Linked DNA regions of Elephas maximus indicus. The protein of the gene in region 1 interacts with the protein of each later gene in a biochemical or structural test. Links are inferred from orthologs where the notes say so. Each region holds a gene or a part of one and is shown on either strand. Other genes may lie near its edges.

Region 1 (7,605 bases):
TTAGTTGTGGGAGCAGCCAGATGCAATAACTTCTTCTTCACTTTAGAAGGGATATCTCGACATGCCCCACACCACTGGACCCTTAGAAATTTCACTGAGGTGGAAGGTGCCTGAATTTTTGTGGGATCAATTTCCCACCCTATAGCACGCAACTGTTTTAGCAGTAAGTCTGGAGTCATTGACACTTCTTCTTTACTAGGTCCAATCAGCATAATGTCATCAATGTAATGGACCAGTGTGACATCTTGTGGAAGGGACAGTTGATCAAGGACCCTGCGGACTAAATTATGACATAGGGCTGGAGAGTTGATGTAGCCCTGAGGTAGTCAAGTAAAGGTGTATTGCTGGCCGTGCCAGCTAAAGGCAAACTGTTTCTGATGGTCCTTTGAAACAGGTATATGGAGAAAAGGGCATTAGCCAGATCAATAACAGCATACCAGGTACCGGGAGATGTATTAATTTGCTCAAGCAGTAAATTACATCCGGAACAGCAGGTGTAATTGGAGCAACCACCTAGTTAAGTTTTCAATAATCTACTGTCATTTTCCAAGATCCATCTGTTTTCTACACAGGTCAAATAGGCGAGTTGAATGCGGGTGTGGTGGGAATCATCACCCCTGCATCCTTCAAGTCCTTAATGGTGGCAGTAATCTCTGCAGTACCTCCAGGGATGCGGTATTGGTTTTCGTTTACTATTTTCCTAGGTAAGGCCAGTTCTAAGGATTTCTCTTGGCTTTTCCTACCATAATAGCCCTTACTCTATTTGTCAGGGATCCAATATGGGGGTTCTGCCAGTTGCTGAGTATATCTATTTAAATTATGCATTCTGGAACTGGGGAAATCACTACAGCATGAGTTTGGGGACCCACTGGACCTACTGTGAGATGGACGTAAGCTAAGACTCCATTAATAACCTGACCTCCATATGCCCCTACTCTGGTGGGCCACAGTGAAGTTTTGGGTCTCCTGGAATTAGTGTCAGTTAAGAGCCAGTGTCCAGTAATCCCTGAAAAGTCTGATTATTTCCCTTTCCTCAATGAACAGTTGGAAACCCTGGTGGCGTAGTGGGTAAGTGCTACGGCTGCTAAACAAGAGGTCGACAGTTCAAACCCACCAGGTGCTCCTTGGAAACTCTATGGGGCAGTTGTACTCTGTCCTATAGGGTCGCTGTGAGTCAGAATCGACTCGGCGGCAACAGGTTTGGTTTTTGGTTTAATGAACAGTCACTCATAAAAGGCCGTAGATCCCTTTGGGGAAAGCTGGGAGAAAAATTAACAGTAAAAGTTTTTAGCAGTGTATTGGAGTCATTCCTCAAGGGGACACAGCCTCTCCTTCATTCAAGGGGTTGTGGGTCTTTAGACTCACTCAAAGCTGGGAACTAACTAGTGACTCTCTATTCTGCCCATTCAAGTTACACTGCTATTCATCTAAACTAGAATTCATCTGTTTGTACAGATCAAGTAAATATTTCATAGTCTTCCGATCTGTTTCACTCCTAGGAACACCTTGACTAAGTAGCCAATGCTGTAAGTCCATAAAAGGCAGATTTTCTGATTACTGCTTTGACTCTGCAGTCCACTACTGTGACCACACCCACCTTGTCTTTGTCGATTGAGTGCAGCCACTTGGCCCCTACTATCACAGGGTCCAGTGAGCTTCATTTTAGTGTCTTAATTCAGTTAGGGTAGTTCCCACTGTCAAATCTGATTTACTTAAGATAGCAATCACAGCAGTCTTCAAGGATCCCGGAGCTCCCTTCACAAATTTGTTCCTCACAGTTGTGGTAAAAGGTGTGTCCTCTGGTACTCCATGTGTGAGTCTGTGGGTCTAACCTAATAAATCCACTCCAGCATACCAATTTCCCTAAGCCTTTGGATACCTTCTTCTACAGTATACCAATGTAGATCCAGTACTTCAACTTGATTTAGTGTAAGCCACCTCGTAATCCATGCTTCAGGGACCCAAACAAATAAACCATTAGATCCTTTCCTAACTTCTTGAGCTGAAACATGGAATAAAGGATCTGTGCTTAGTGGACCCATATCAATAAACTCAGACTGATCCATCTCGATCTTCATTGCGCCATTATCCCAAACCCTTTATAGCCATTCCCACACATTCCCCAGGTGTTTTTTGGTACATATTAGAAAAGTCAAGCAGGTCTTTTGGAATGTAGCATACCTCCTCCTGAGTCATACTTTGTACTTCACCTTTTGGGACTGGCTGGGACTTAAGTCTAGTTACAGGTCTAGAAGCCAGAATCCATAGTGTGAAATTGTTTTGAGAACATTCAGCATTGTCTTGTAAAGCATCTGCCTCAGTCAATGCCCCAGGCAGTGACTCAGGCAAGGGCTCTTTAGAGGCAGCTGGGCTAGGGCTAATCTCATTAGATAGGAGTGGAGGAGGTAATGGTTTTTCTGGGCAGAGTGGTTTAGCAGAGAAACATGAAGTAATCTCTTCAGCTGGGATTGGTTCTGCTGGCAGGAATGATTTAATGGAATATAGGGGCTGTGTCTCCAGCTTCCTGATTATCTGCCCATACGTCCCCATCCCAAGTTTCAGGATCCCATTTCTTCCCAATGCCCTTACTTTAACTTCAGACTCCTCTCAAGGTTGACAGTTGAGCTGGGCTTGTAATTCAGTCACTCTTACAGTAAGACTCTGAGTTTGGTTTCCAGAAATTTCAGCTCTGTTACTACAAGAAATAAGGCTTTTTTTTTTTCAAATCACAAGTGGAAGGATTGAGGTCATATATGTGGCACTTGAGCTTTAACTCTGAAGCCCTGAGCACATCTCTTTAACCAGTTTGTCTACCTACCAACCTACCAGCTTTCTTATACTTTTCATTCTAACAAAATTTAGAAAGATATCACGTGTGTTCATCCAGAGCCTTGCCTTTCACCAATACCTGATCTACTGGTGGTGATATTTTGCATAATTGTATTGCCACCTCACGCCATGAATTAGCAGTGCCCTCTTTATTGCTGGAAGTAGAGTCATCAACATCTTTAAGACTAACCAGACTTGAGAACCAATTTAGGAAACTCATCCTTACAATTCTGTTTCTCTAGAACCACTCTGTGTGCCAAATGTCTGAGGCTAGGTTCTCTAAGGAAGCAGAACTAGTAAAATATATAAATATATACATAGAGATTTATATCAAGGAAATGGCTTACACGAATGTAGAGGCTTGAACATCCCAAGTCTGTGGATCAGGATAGAGGCTTCTCTTGATTCACGTAGCCACAGGGGCTGGAGAACCCACGATCAGCAGGTCTGAGAACAGTGCTCTTGCTCACAGGCTGTGAAGATCGATGAATCTGAAAATCTGCAGATAAGCTAATAGCTCAAGTCCCAAGAGCCGGAGGTCAGACGAACAGGAGACAGCCGTAGGATCCAGAGTGAGCAAAAAAGCTAAAACGTCTGGTTATATTCGGATGTAGGCCACATCCCCAGGGAAAATCCCTTTCAACCGATGGAGTACTTACAGCAGATTCAATCATGAAGGTGATCACCCATAAACAGCCAAGTTAACACATAATCTTAACCATCACAATTGCCTAGAAAGTTCCTTTGCTTCTGGATAGCTTAGAGGAGACAAAGTAGAACTCTAGAAGACAAGTAGTAAGGACCAAGCTTCTTAAGAAGCAGTAGAGCAGAGTGGCAGGGAAAGCCTTGGATCTCCATCACGTAGCTCTGTGTCATAGAAAAAGTTACTCAGTAGGGGTTGCGTTTCCTGACTTTTAGGATTGTTCCAAAAATTAAAGATGCTTAACACAGTACCTATGAGTTGGAATCGACTTGATGACAACAGGTTTGGTTTTGTTTTTTTTTTTGGTTAACACAGTACCTAGTATGTAATAAGTGCTCGGTAAGTAGTAGCTGCTTACAAGGACTTGTTCACTGTGTGAGGTGAAAGAATGAAAGAAGAAACTTTAGCTTATACTTCCAGGTTTCGTAAACCAATTCACCACCCTAAATGAGAAGTTGGGATGCCAAAGCCCAGTTTAAGAATAAAAATTCTGTGGTAGGTTGGAATTTCCTGGTACTGTACCTCTTGGGAATTTAAGCATCGTATACTAGTGTTATGTGAGTTATACCATTTTGGTGCCAAGTTCTTTGTTTTTTCTTTTAGCAAGGTGAAAATAGTATAAAGTCTTCTTATTGACTGAAGGGCTGCGTTCTTAAAATGGCCTGATCTGTTGAAACAGAAATAAGCTGCAATCTATATCTTAATGTGGGAGGGGGCATACAAATGTAAAAATTTATCCAGGTGCACATTTATTTGTGCACTTTGTGTACTTCACTGTTAATATCTTGGTTAAAGGGAAGAAAGGAAGGAAGTAGAAAGGACATTGCTCAGCTCACAGAAACCTTTAGCAATAAAGGTGAAGCTTGGGTTAGGGTGGTAATGCTGATACAAAAATGTTCATATAAAGTACTAACATGCAGAAATAATCATTCGGATAATGAATATAGTGCAGTGGTTTTAGTGGTTTTATAATGGCTGATTTTGATTGACTTCTATTTTCTTTATATTCTAGTTAATAAAAGTATCCATGGAGAACACTGAAAACTCGGTGGATTCGAAATCCATTAAAAATTTGGAAACGTGAGTATTTAAATGGAACCCTGTATAATCAGAGAAAAATCGGTATGTTTAAATGGCAAACTGAGGAGTGGGGAAGCAGAGCGTATATGAGCTTTCTAGCCAGAGAGACCAAGTTGACTTCTTCCCTCAGACAGCTGTGTGACTTTACACAGTTAACCTCTCTGAATCTCATCCTTATAACTTTCGTGGAATTGTGAAGAGGATTAAGGGAGGCATCTAAAGATCAAGCACGGTGTCAGTCCCATAGTCAGAAACCCAGTCCTGGAACTGAAAGAATGCACCAGGAAAAACCAAACCCACAAGTTTAGTTGGTTCTGTACCTTCCCAGATTGCTCTGCTGAAGGATTATAGGTTTTGTGTTTGTGGGAAGTTTTTTGGCCTCCTGTTAATGTATAACTTTTAAGACTAAAATGAAACGGCAGCTCTCACTGCCTGTTGTCAGATGCCATCGAGTTGGTTTCAACTCAGAGCAACCCTATGCACAACCGAATGAAACACTGCCTGGTCCTGTGCCGTCCTCACACAATTGTTGCTATGCTTTGGCCCATGGTTGTAGCCACTGTGTCAGTCCATCTCGTTGAAGGCCTTCCTCTTTTTCGCTGACGCTCTGCTTTACCAAGCATGATGTCCTTCTCCAAGGACTGATCCCTCCTGACAACATGTCCAAAGTATGTGAGATGCAGTCTTGCCTTCCTTGCTTCTAAGGAGCATTCTGGTTGTACTTCTAAGACAGATTTTTTTGTTCTTTTGGCAGTCCACAGTATATTCAATATTCTTTGCCAACACCACAATTCAAAGGCGTCAGTTCTTCTTCAGTCTTTCTTATTCATTGTCTAGCTTTCACATTCATATGATGCTACTGAAAACACCATGGCTTGAGTCAGGTGCTCCTTGCTATTCAACACTTTAAAGAGGTATTTTGCAGCCGATTTGCCCAGTTCAATGTGTCTTTTGATTTCTTCGCTGCTACTTCTATGGGTGTTGATTGCGGATCCAAGTAAAATGAAATCCTTGACAACCTCGGTGTTCTCTCCATTTATCATGATGTTTCTCCGTTTATCATGATGTCCTTCTTCCTAGGCTGTCTTAGTCTGGAAGCTCAGCTGAAAGCTGTCCACCATGGGTGACCCTGCTGGTATTTGAATAACAATGTCATAGCTTCCAACATCACAGCAACACACAAGCCCCCACAGTACAATAAACTGACAGATGAAGTGTGGGGGTCTCAGTGCCTAGTTATGAATTATCTTTTACCCTTTGTTTTTCTCTGGTCTTTCTTTTTGGAATATTGTAATTATAAATGCTTCTAGTAACTATCAAGTTCAGGAGGGGAAAAAGTTAAAACTCAAATATTCTTAATTTAATTCATATCTATTATTATCGATTAGAATTTCTTGTGATACTTTTAATTCTAATAATTTCTTTCAGGGACTCAATATCCTCTGGGTTAACCCAAGAATTACAAATTAATTTTAGTACTAAACAATATTATTACAGCAATATTGTTAACAAGTTGTCAATAAAGATTTAAAACCAAAAAAACCAAACCCATTGCCATCAAGTTGATTCTGACTCACAGCGACCCTATGGGACAGAGTAGGACTGCCCCCATTGAGTTTCCAAGGAGCGCCTGGTGGGTTCGAACTGCCGACCATTTGGTTAGCAGCTGTAGCACTTAACCACTATGCCACCAGGGTTTCCAATAAAGATTTTTCAGTGTTTAATTACCTTTAGGGAACTGGGTTATAGGTAAAGGAATTATCCTAGAAATTGAGCCTTTGAAATGTAATTCCATTTAAAATATAATTCCATTAAAGTAGTTTTTGAAACCTTTGTAAAGTGATTTACACATTTTCCTTCCTACTTTTCATTATCATATAGAACATCACTTAAATAGCAAATTACTCGGGAGCCCAAAACAGGTTTAGGACCATTATGGTCCTATGATTAGTTACCTTCACATTTGCAAGCATTTTGGGTCTCTGTTCTTCATCAGGATCAGGTGTGTCCACTCTCAGTCTAGCTATCACACATTGCCGCCTGTCTCTTTAGGAGGGAAATGGGGCTTATAATTCTGTGACTCATTATCTAGGGGTCTCTGGGTGGTGCAAATGTTTTGTACTAGACTACTAACCAAAAGGTTGGTGGTACAGATTCACCCAGTGGTGCCATGGAAGAAGGACTGTGTGATTTAGTTTTATAAAGAAAGATTGCAGTCATTGAAAACCCTGTGGAGCACAACTTTACTCTGAAACGTGGGGTCACCATGAGTCAGAACTGACTTGATGGCAATGGGTTTGCATTTTTTTTTTGTTGTTTTTTGACCTCTCATTTCCTGATTCTTGGTCTAGATCAGGGTCAGGCTTGTGGTTTGCTTTTGTCAGGTTTTATGGACACAGCCACACTCATTCGTTTACATATTGTTCAGGGCTGTTTTCACCAGCAGAGTTAAGTAGCTGCAACAGAGACTCTATGGCCTATAAATCTAAAATACCATCTTGCCCTTTAAGAAAAAATTTGCAGATCTGTGGTTTTTGGATAAATGATCTCCAAACAAGTATTTTCAATTGTTTATAATAGTGCTTTTATGTATTAATAAATTATTAGTTTGTTCAGCTCATAGAGTTTAAGGAACAATTTATGAATTTTGATAAATATTGTGCTTTGAGTCATATTTGCATGTTTTTGGTTTCCTATAATTTGGGGGTAATTTTCAAGATATTGCTCTTAACTTGGAGGATAAAATACTTCACAGAATTAAAGTATAAAACCTATTCGAGGGCAGAGCAAACATGGCGCTATAGACAGAAGCACCACACTGTCCCTCCATCGCAAAGACCTAAAAAACTAAAACAGAGAAAACATCAATCCTGGAACCTTAAGCATCAAATGAAGAGATAATGCAACGTAGCATCAAATGGAATAAGAAAGTGACAGAGAACAGAAAGCGAGGAGAGAGATGTGTGGAGATCCACTATCAGCTAACGCACCGC
Region 2 (7,293 bases), on another chromosome or scaffold:
AATGTGTACCCTGAGACAGTGCCCCGGGGGCCAACAGGGGCCAACGTAGGTGAGGCAGTGAGCCCCAGCCAAGGAGTGTCTGACAAGGGGTCACGCTGCCACTCCTGGCTTCTTGAAGAGCTAAGCTGCTGTGCTGTTGGTGATGGTTATTCCAGTTTCTCAGCCCCATGCTCATCAGCCTTCTGTGGTAACAGAGACCTAAGACAAATGGAAGGAGAATATAGGGAAGATGAGATATTTAAATCTAGGCCTGAGAATGACAGCCAGTATCAAATTCCAGTTGTGCCTATTCCTTGGACCCCGCCCCGCCACACTTGCCCATTAGTTATTTTTCCTTATTGTGCACATGATGTGTCTCATGGCTGCTCGCACCACCCAAAGGAGAGAGAAGACTGGTGGACTGGCTGTTCTGCTCTAATCCTTTGTCCTCTGGTGACCAAGCCTTGGTCACATCATCCCAGGAATGTTCCTGAAGAACTGTAAAATAATAAAATTATTTTCAGAATGAAGAATTGTGGTAGTGTGTGCATGTATGTGAACATATGGGTACTTGTATACAAGTGTTTGCATGCTGGAGAAGGAAGGTACTTAGAGGAAAAGGTAGGGGTGGGGTAGCTGGGAGTGAATACATGGGGAGAAAGCTCGACATACTCAGGCCTCCTCACTGGCCAGCATCAGTAATAGCTGCATGTTGTCCTTCCAGCCTTAGCCACTAGGTCCTGGAATGATGGAATGAGGAAATCTCATCCTGCCATTGAACCAATGAGGCCAGGCCTTAAAGCGTGAGGTTCATGAAGCATTAGAGCAGAGAATATGCAGGGGATGGTCTTGGGAGAACTCTTGTCTGGTACAGAATGGAAAACATTAGGCCTTTACAGATCCCTCTGGGTTGGAGTGGAGAAAGGGAGCTCTAACAGCATACAGCTGACTGTTGTTAGGTGCTGTTGAGCTGGTCCCAACCCATAGCTACCCTATGTACAACAGAACGAAACACTTCCGGCCCTGTGCTATCCTCACAGTCGTTATGTTTGAGCCCATTGTTGCAGCCGCTGCGTCAATCCATCTCACCGAGGGTCTTCCTCATTTTCACTGAGCCTCTACCGAGCATGATGTCCTTCTCCACGGACTCAGGGACTAGTCCCTCCTGGTAACATGTCCAAAGTATGTGAGAGATAGTCTCACCAACCTTGGTTCTAAGGAGCATTCTGGCTGGTTGTAGAGATGTTGGATTTTCCTATAGATTTTAGAGATTAGACCTTTGTCGGATTTGTAATAGCTAATTTTTTTTCCCCAGTCTGTAGGTTGCCTTTTTATTCTTTTGGTGAAGTCCTTGGATGAGCATAAGTGTTTAATTTTTAGAAGATCCCAGTTTTCTAGCTTATCTTTTAGAGTTTGTGTGTTATTAGTTATGGTTTGTATCCTGTTAATGCCATGTATTAGAGCCTCTAGAGTTGATCCTATTTTTTCTTCTATGAACTTTATAGTTCTTGGCTTTATATTTAGGTCTTTGATCCATTTTGAATTAGTTTTTGTATATGGTGTGTGGTATGGTTCCTGTTTCATTTTTTTGCAGATGGCCATACAGTTTTGCTAGCACCATTTGTTAAAAAAGACTGCCATTTCTCCCATTTGGTGGACTTTGGACCCTTGTCAAAGATTAGGTGGACGGATTTACATCTGGGTTCTCAATTCTGTTCCATTGGGCAACGTATCTGTCTTTGTACCAGCACTAAGCTGTTTTGACTACCGTAGCTGTATAGTAGGTTCTAAGGTCAGGTAGCGTGAGTCCTACTTTACTCTTTTTCTTCAATAGTGCTTTATTTTATCTGGGGCTTCTTCCCTTTCCATGTAAAATTAATGATTAGTTTTTTCATCTCTAAAGAATGCTGTTGGTATTTGGATTGAGATTGCATTGTATTTGTAAATCACTTTGGGTAGAATTGTCATTTTTACAATGTTGAGTCTACCTCTCCATGAGCATGGTGTGTTTTTCCATTTATGTAGATCTCTTTTGGTTTTTCGTGGTAGTGTTTTGTAGCTTTCTTTGTTAGGTCTTTTATATCCCTGGTTAGATTTATTCCTAAGTATTTTATATTTTTAGAGTCTACTGTAAATGGTGTTGCTTTCCTGATTTCCCTTTCATAGTTCTTTTTATTGGTGTTTAGGAATCCAACTGATTTTTGTGTGTTTATCTTGTATCTTGCTACTCTGCTGAATTTTTCTATTAGTTCCAGTAGTTTTCTTGTATAGTCTTTTGGGTTTTCTATGCATATATCATATCATCCACAAATAGGGATAATTTAACTTCTTCATTACCAATTTGGATGCCCTTTGTTTCTTTTTCCTGCCTTATTGCTCTAGCTAGGACTTCCAGCACAATGTTAAATAGGAATGGTGATAAAGGACATCCTTGTCTTGTTCCTGTTCTTAGGGGAATGTTTTCAGCCTCTCTCCAGTAAGAATGATGTTGGCCATTGGTTTTGCACAGTTGCCCATTATTATGTTGACAAATTTCCCTTATATACCTATCTTAATGAGAATTTTTATCAGGAATGGGTGTTGGACTTTGTTGAGCAACTTTTCTGCATCAATTGAGATGATCAAAAGAGATGATCTCTTTCCATTTATTTATGTGATGGGTTATGTTGATTAATTTTCTAATGTTGAACCATCCTTGCATACCTGGTATGAATCCTATTTGGTCATGTATTATTTTTTTGATATGATGCTGAATTCTATTGGCTAGAATTTTGTTGAGAATTTTTGCATCTATATTCATGAGAGATACTGGTCTGTAGTTTTCTTTTTTTGTGGTGTCTTCGCCTGGTTTTGGTATCGGGGTAGTGCTGGCTTATAGAATGCATTTGAAAGTGTTGCTTCCTTTTCTATGTCCTGAAATAGTTTGAGTAGTACTGGTGTAAACTCTTCGCTGAATGTTTGGTAGAATTCTCCAGTGAACCATTTGGGCCAAGGCTCTTTTTGTTGTTGTTGGGAAAAAAAAAAAAAAATTTATTACTTTTTCAATCTCTTCTCTTGTTATGGGTCTGTTCAGATTTTCAACATCATTTTGTGTTAGTTTAAGTAGGTAATGTGTTTCTAGAAATTTGTCCATTTCCTCTAGGTTTTCAAATTTGTTGGGAGCAGCAAATCCTGATGAGCAATAACACAGAATACCACAAAGACTGTCTATCATCCAGTACCATTGGGTTCTTTCAAAGTTCCTCCTATATGGAACCAAATCTTTTTACAATTAGCTCAGATGCCTAACTCTCGCAAACAAGCCATGAACCTTTCTGCCTCCATGTCTTTCCTTTCCCCTAATAAGTTTTTCCCTTATTATTTCATTGAGTGCATCAATGTTTTTTGGATATTTACTACATGCAAACCTCAGTTTTAAGTTTTAAGTGCTGTAAGCAGTGTAGAAGTAGAGTTTCTTTTTCAATCTTAACCTTCACGAGCTACATAAAATCAATTTCCCACTAAGCGTTTCTTGATCAGTATAGCCTATCCTCGAGTCCCTGGGGGGTGGAAATGGTTAACGTACTTGGCTGCTAACCAAAAGGTTGGAGGTTTGAGTCCACCAGAGGCTCCTTGGAAGAATGATCTGGCAATCTGCTTCCAAAAAAAAAAAAAAAAAAAAACTCAGTAATTGAAAACCCTGTGGAGCACACAGCTCTACTTTGACACACGTGGGGTTGAATGGCCCATCCCAAATTCTGAGTTGGAATGGCCCACCCCAAATTCTTCTCTGAATTCCTTTACTACAATAGATGCAGCTGCCTACCACATTTAGGACACAAATGCAGTACTATAGCATTCTCTTCATGTTTTCTGGTTGAATGTTTTGCTTCCCTGACTATAAACTCTGAATAAGAGCAGCATTTTCTATCACTTCCTCATGCTCCTCAAAGTTTGCAAAAGAGTAACCACAGGATCATTTAATCCTTTTAAAGTCAAGCCCCTAAGCATAAAGAAAGGAGCCCTGGTGGCACAGCAGTTAAGCACTCAGCTGCTAACAGAAAGGTCAGTGGTTTGAACCCACTAGCTGCTCTGCAGAAGAAAAATGTGGCAGATTCCATAAAGATTTACAGCCTTGGAAGCCCTGCGGGGCAGTTCTACTCTGTCCTATAGGGTCACTATGAGCCAGCATTGACTCGTCGGCAATGAGTTTTTTAGGTTAAGAAGGAACTGACTCAAACTTCAGGAAGTAGCTGTGAAGACAGGGTGGCAGGAAATGACAGCAAACCTGAATAACGGAACTGAAGCAGCAGCTCAGAATTTCTTGATCTGAGTGGCAGCAGCCAGAAAGGGAGCCGGGTGTCGTCTTGAGGAGCTGGGATCTGAGAGCCAGACACTCACACTATTGGAGGTGGGTGCGCTGAGCAGTGAGGGGAGTTGGGGAGCAAGAGAGGAAGTAAGAGGAACCTACCTGATAGGGGTGAGGGACACTGCTATTAGCCTTTTTAAGCTTTTATGGCCAGAAGGCCAGGATGTGAGTGGTTGCGGGTAATGAGCATCTGTGGATGGAAACAGAGGGAGGGCTAAAACCCAGGGGAGCAGAATTCAGCAGCCAGCCAGGACCCAGACCACACAAAGTATTGTCTGATCTCTGTTGACAATCTCCAGCCCTCCTAGGCACTGGGTTGAAAGGAGGACCACAGGAGATGAAGACAAGTCTCTGCCCTGGAAGAGCGTATGGTCTAGCCAGGGACATAAAACCCACATAGGAAATGGTGTAACTGATCAGGAAGCCCTAGCTAATGTACAGTTGTGCTGAGAACCAAGGTGAGGGAGTGCGTGGTGGTTCAGCTGGGACTAGTTTCTGTGATTGCAGGATCACAGAATCCCAGAATGTCAGAAATGGAAGCAACTTTATAGGTTAGCTAAGTTGACCCCTTCATTTGATTTTCCATCGGCAAAACTGAGAATCAACAATTATTCAGTAACTCGCTAAATTATTTGAGTCAATATTTGTGACTAGACTGGTGCCTGGCGCATGAGAACATACTTCACATTGATTCTCTTACCCGTGTTCCCAGAGGGGTGATCACCAGGTCTTCTGACTCCCAGCCCATGTAGTGTACTGATGCTCTAAGTCAGTCTCCTGTTGAGACCCTTGACTGTACCTAAGACTCATGCTCAAACACATTCCTCTTCAGTCTCCCATTTCTAGAGAGCACCTCTTGGCTTCCCTATTTCTGGCCAGTAGGTCAAAGATACCACATCATCTCTATGTCAGAAATTCTTCTCTTTATCTCAAGAATGGGTAAAAACTGGAGATTTCTGAAAGAGCTGGGCCGAGGCCTCGGAGGAACAGCAGGGCAGACGACAGGACCATTGGCTCTCATTGCTTCCTTATCACGCACAAATATTTCAGAAACTTCTCCTTTCTAGTGTCCTGTATTAAGTCCTGTTGCTGCAGCACAGTCCAGGAGCCAGGGCATGAGAAGCAGACAAGGGCGAAAGGATACAGGATCATAGGTCTCTACTACCTGCCCCAGGCCATAACCACCACCTTGGCAGGGGAGGCAGAGCTCTGTCTGCAGTGACTCACTACAGTCAGGTGCCTCAGTCAACACCTCCAGTGTCCTCTCAGCATCTCCTTTTCCCACTTTACACCCAAACCCCTTTAGATGGCGTTTCCAAGGGGTTGGTTGTTCAAAGAGCGTGAAAAGGAGAAGGGTGGAGTTTTCAAGTGGAAATAGAAAACTAGAAAGGAGAATCTGAGGGCCTACGTGACCAGACAGGAAAGTGTTTGTAAAAGGGACTCCCTTGAGAGACAAAGAAGAGCGCGGGAGAATGTCTGGAGAGTAGGGCGAGGTGTCTGAGCAGGGAAAGATGGGCAGGAAAGTTTTCAGCTAGCAAGTGGTGCCAGGGCTGAGAGGTCTCTGTGGAGTGGGTGAGCATTGTCTGCTGTCACCTCCTCACACCAAGGTCTGGGACCCACAGATGCAGAGTAGCTGTGCAGCCTCCCCACCCCGCGTCACCGGCAGGCTGACCTGGAGACGCCCCGCAGAGCAACAATTTGGCCCCCCTTCAAGCTAGTGTACTCAAAGTATTTCTTTTGCATTTATTTAGTTAATAAAAGTTGAATACCTCTGATGTTCAAAATACAGATTTTTACATGTTATGTTTTGAACAAGTTATCTTCTTTAGAGGTATAATTGAACTGTTCTTAAAAATTGGAAAGAAATGACTTTCCGCCAGTGAATAGTGAAGTGCTTCCCCACGCGTTGCTCAGGGTAGGAATTTCAGCTAACTGCCCCTAATGACCTCAAGCAGCTGTCCACAGGCTATCTCAGAGAGGAGGTGGGATGGTACTTGGACTGGGTGTTGGGAAAATTCTCAATAGAGTTGTGTGGGTTGTAGAGAGGAGTGTAGAGGCTGTTCACTTTGGCAGGAACTGGACCAATTTCTATTTCGACAACTATAAAAGGAATCATCTCTAGAAACCTGTGCTCTGTGTGCCCAGCGCCCTCGATGGTCTTGGCTCCCCCACCCTTGCTCCTTCTTACAGATGTCATTCTGTCATTGAATACCACCCCAAGCTGCTGCCTGGCTGGCCTCTGGACACAGGCAAACAATCCCAGAAGTTTTGACATCCAGGTTATTTAGCAGTACCTACACCCAAGATGACTTCTCTCCAGACTCAGTTTCTCTTGATTAAGCCCCCCAAAACTGAGCAAAAGTGCCTTTTGTTGTTGTGTTGTAAAAATAGAGGTAACACAACATTTGCCAATTCAACATTTGTCACTTGTACAAGTCAATGAAACAAATTACATCAATCATTCTGTGCAACCATCACCAACATCCTTTGCCATATTTTCCATCCCCATAAGCAGACTCAGTGCTAACTCTCTAAAGTGTTAAAAAGCTAAGGTGTGCCTGATCCAAGCCATGGTGTGCCTGATCCAAGCCATGGTGTTTTCAGTCGCCTCATATGCATGCAAAAGCTGGACAAGGAATAAGGAAAACCAAAGAAGACTTGATGTCTTCGAATTATGGTGTTGGCAAGGAATATTGAATATACCATGGACTGCCAGAAAACAAAAACTTGGAAGAAGTAATGCCAGAATGCTCATTAAAAGCAAGGATGGTGAAATTTTGTCTCACATACTTTGGACATGTTACCAGGAGGGACTAGTCCCTGGAGAACGACATCATGCTGGGTAAAGGAGAGGGTCAGTGAGAAAGAGAAAGACTCAGTGAGATGGATTGACACAGTGGCTGTAAGAAAACAAGGAGCTCGAGAATAACAACGATTGTGAGAATGGCTCAGGGCCAGGCAGTGTT

The links.
Region 2: of the proteins of CASP3 (region 1) and HCLS1, one has a biochemical effect on the other in vitro, tested with the Homo sapiens proteins (2 studies listed by BioGRID). The link is inferred for Elephas maximus indicus from reciprocal best matches to the Homo sapiens genes CASP3 and HCLS1.

What each region holds. Positions count from the first base shown.
Region 1 is NC_064839.1:83,406,662-83,414,266, reverse strand, and holds the start of CASP3 (caspase-3), read left to right. Parts: upstream 1-4,543; 5' UTR 4,544-4,559; coding exon of another isoform or gene 4,560-4,612; intron 4,613-7,367; exon of another isoform or gene 7,368-7,397; 5' UTR 7,398-7,571; coding exon 7,572-7,605. UniProt on the Homo sapiens protein: Thiol protease that acts as a major effector caspase involved in the execution phase of apoptosis. Following cleavage and activation by initiator caspases (CASP8, CASP9 and/or CASP10), mediates execution of apoptosis by catalyzing cleavage of many proteins.
Region 2 is NC_064819.1:12,176,117-12,183,409, reverse strand, and holds the start of HCLS1 (hematopoietic lineage cell-specific protein), read left to right. Parts: upstream 1-4,261; 5' UTR 4,262-4,369; intron 4,370-7,293. UniProt on the Homo sapiens protein: Substrate of the antigen receptor-coupled tyrosine kinase. Plays a role in antigen receptor signaling for both clonal expansion and deletion in lymphoid cells. May also be involved in the regulation of gene expression.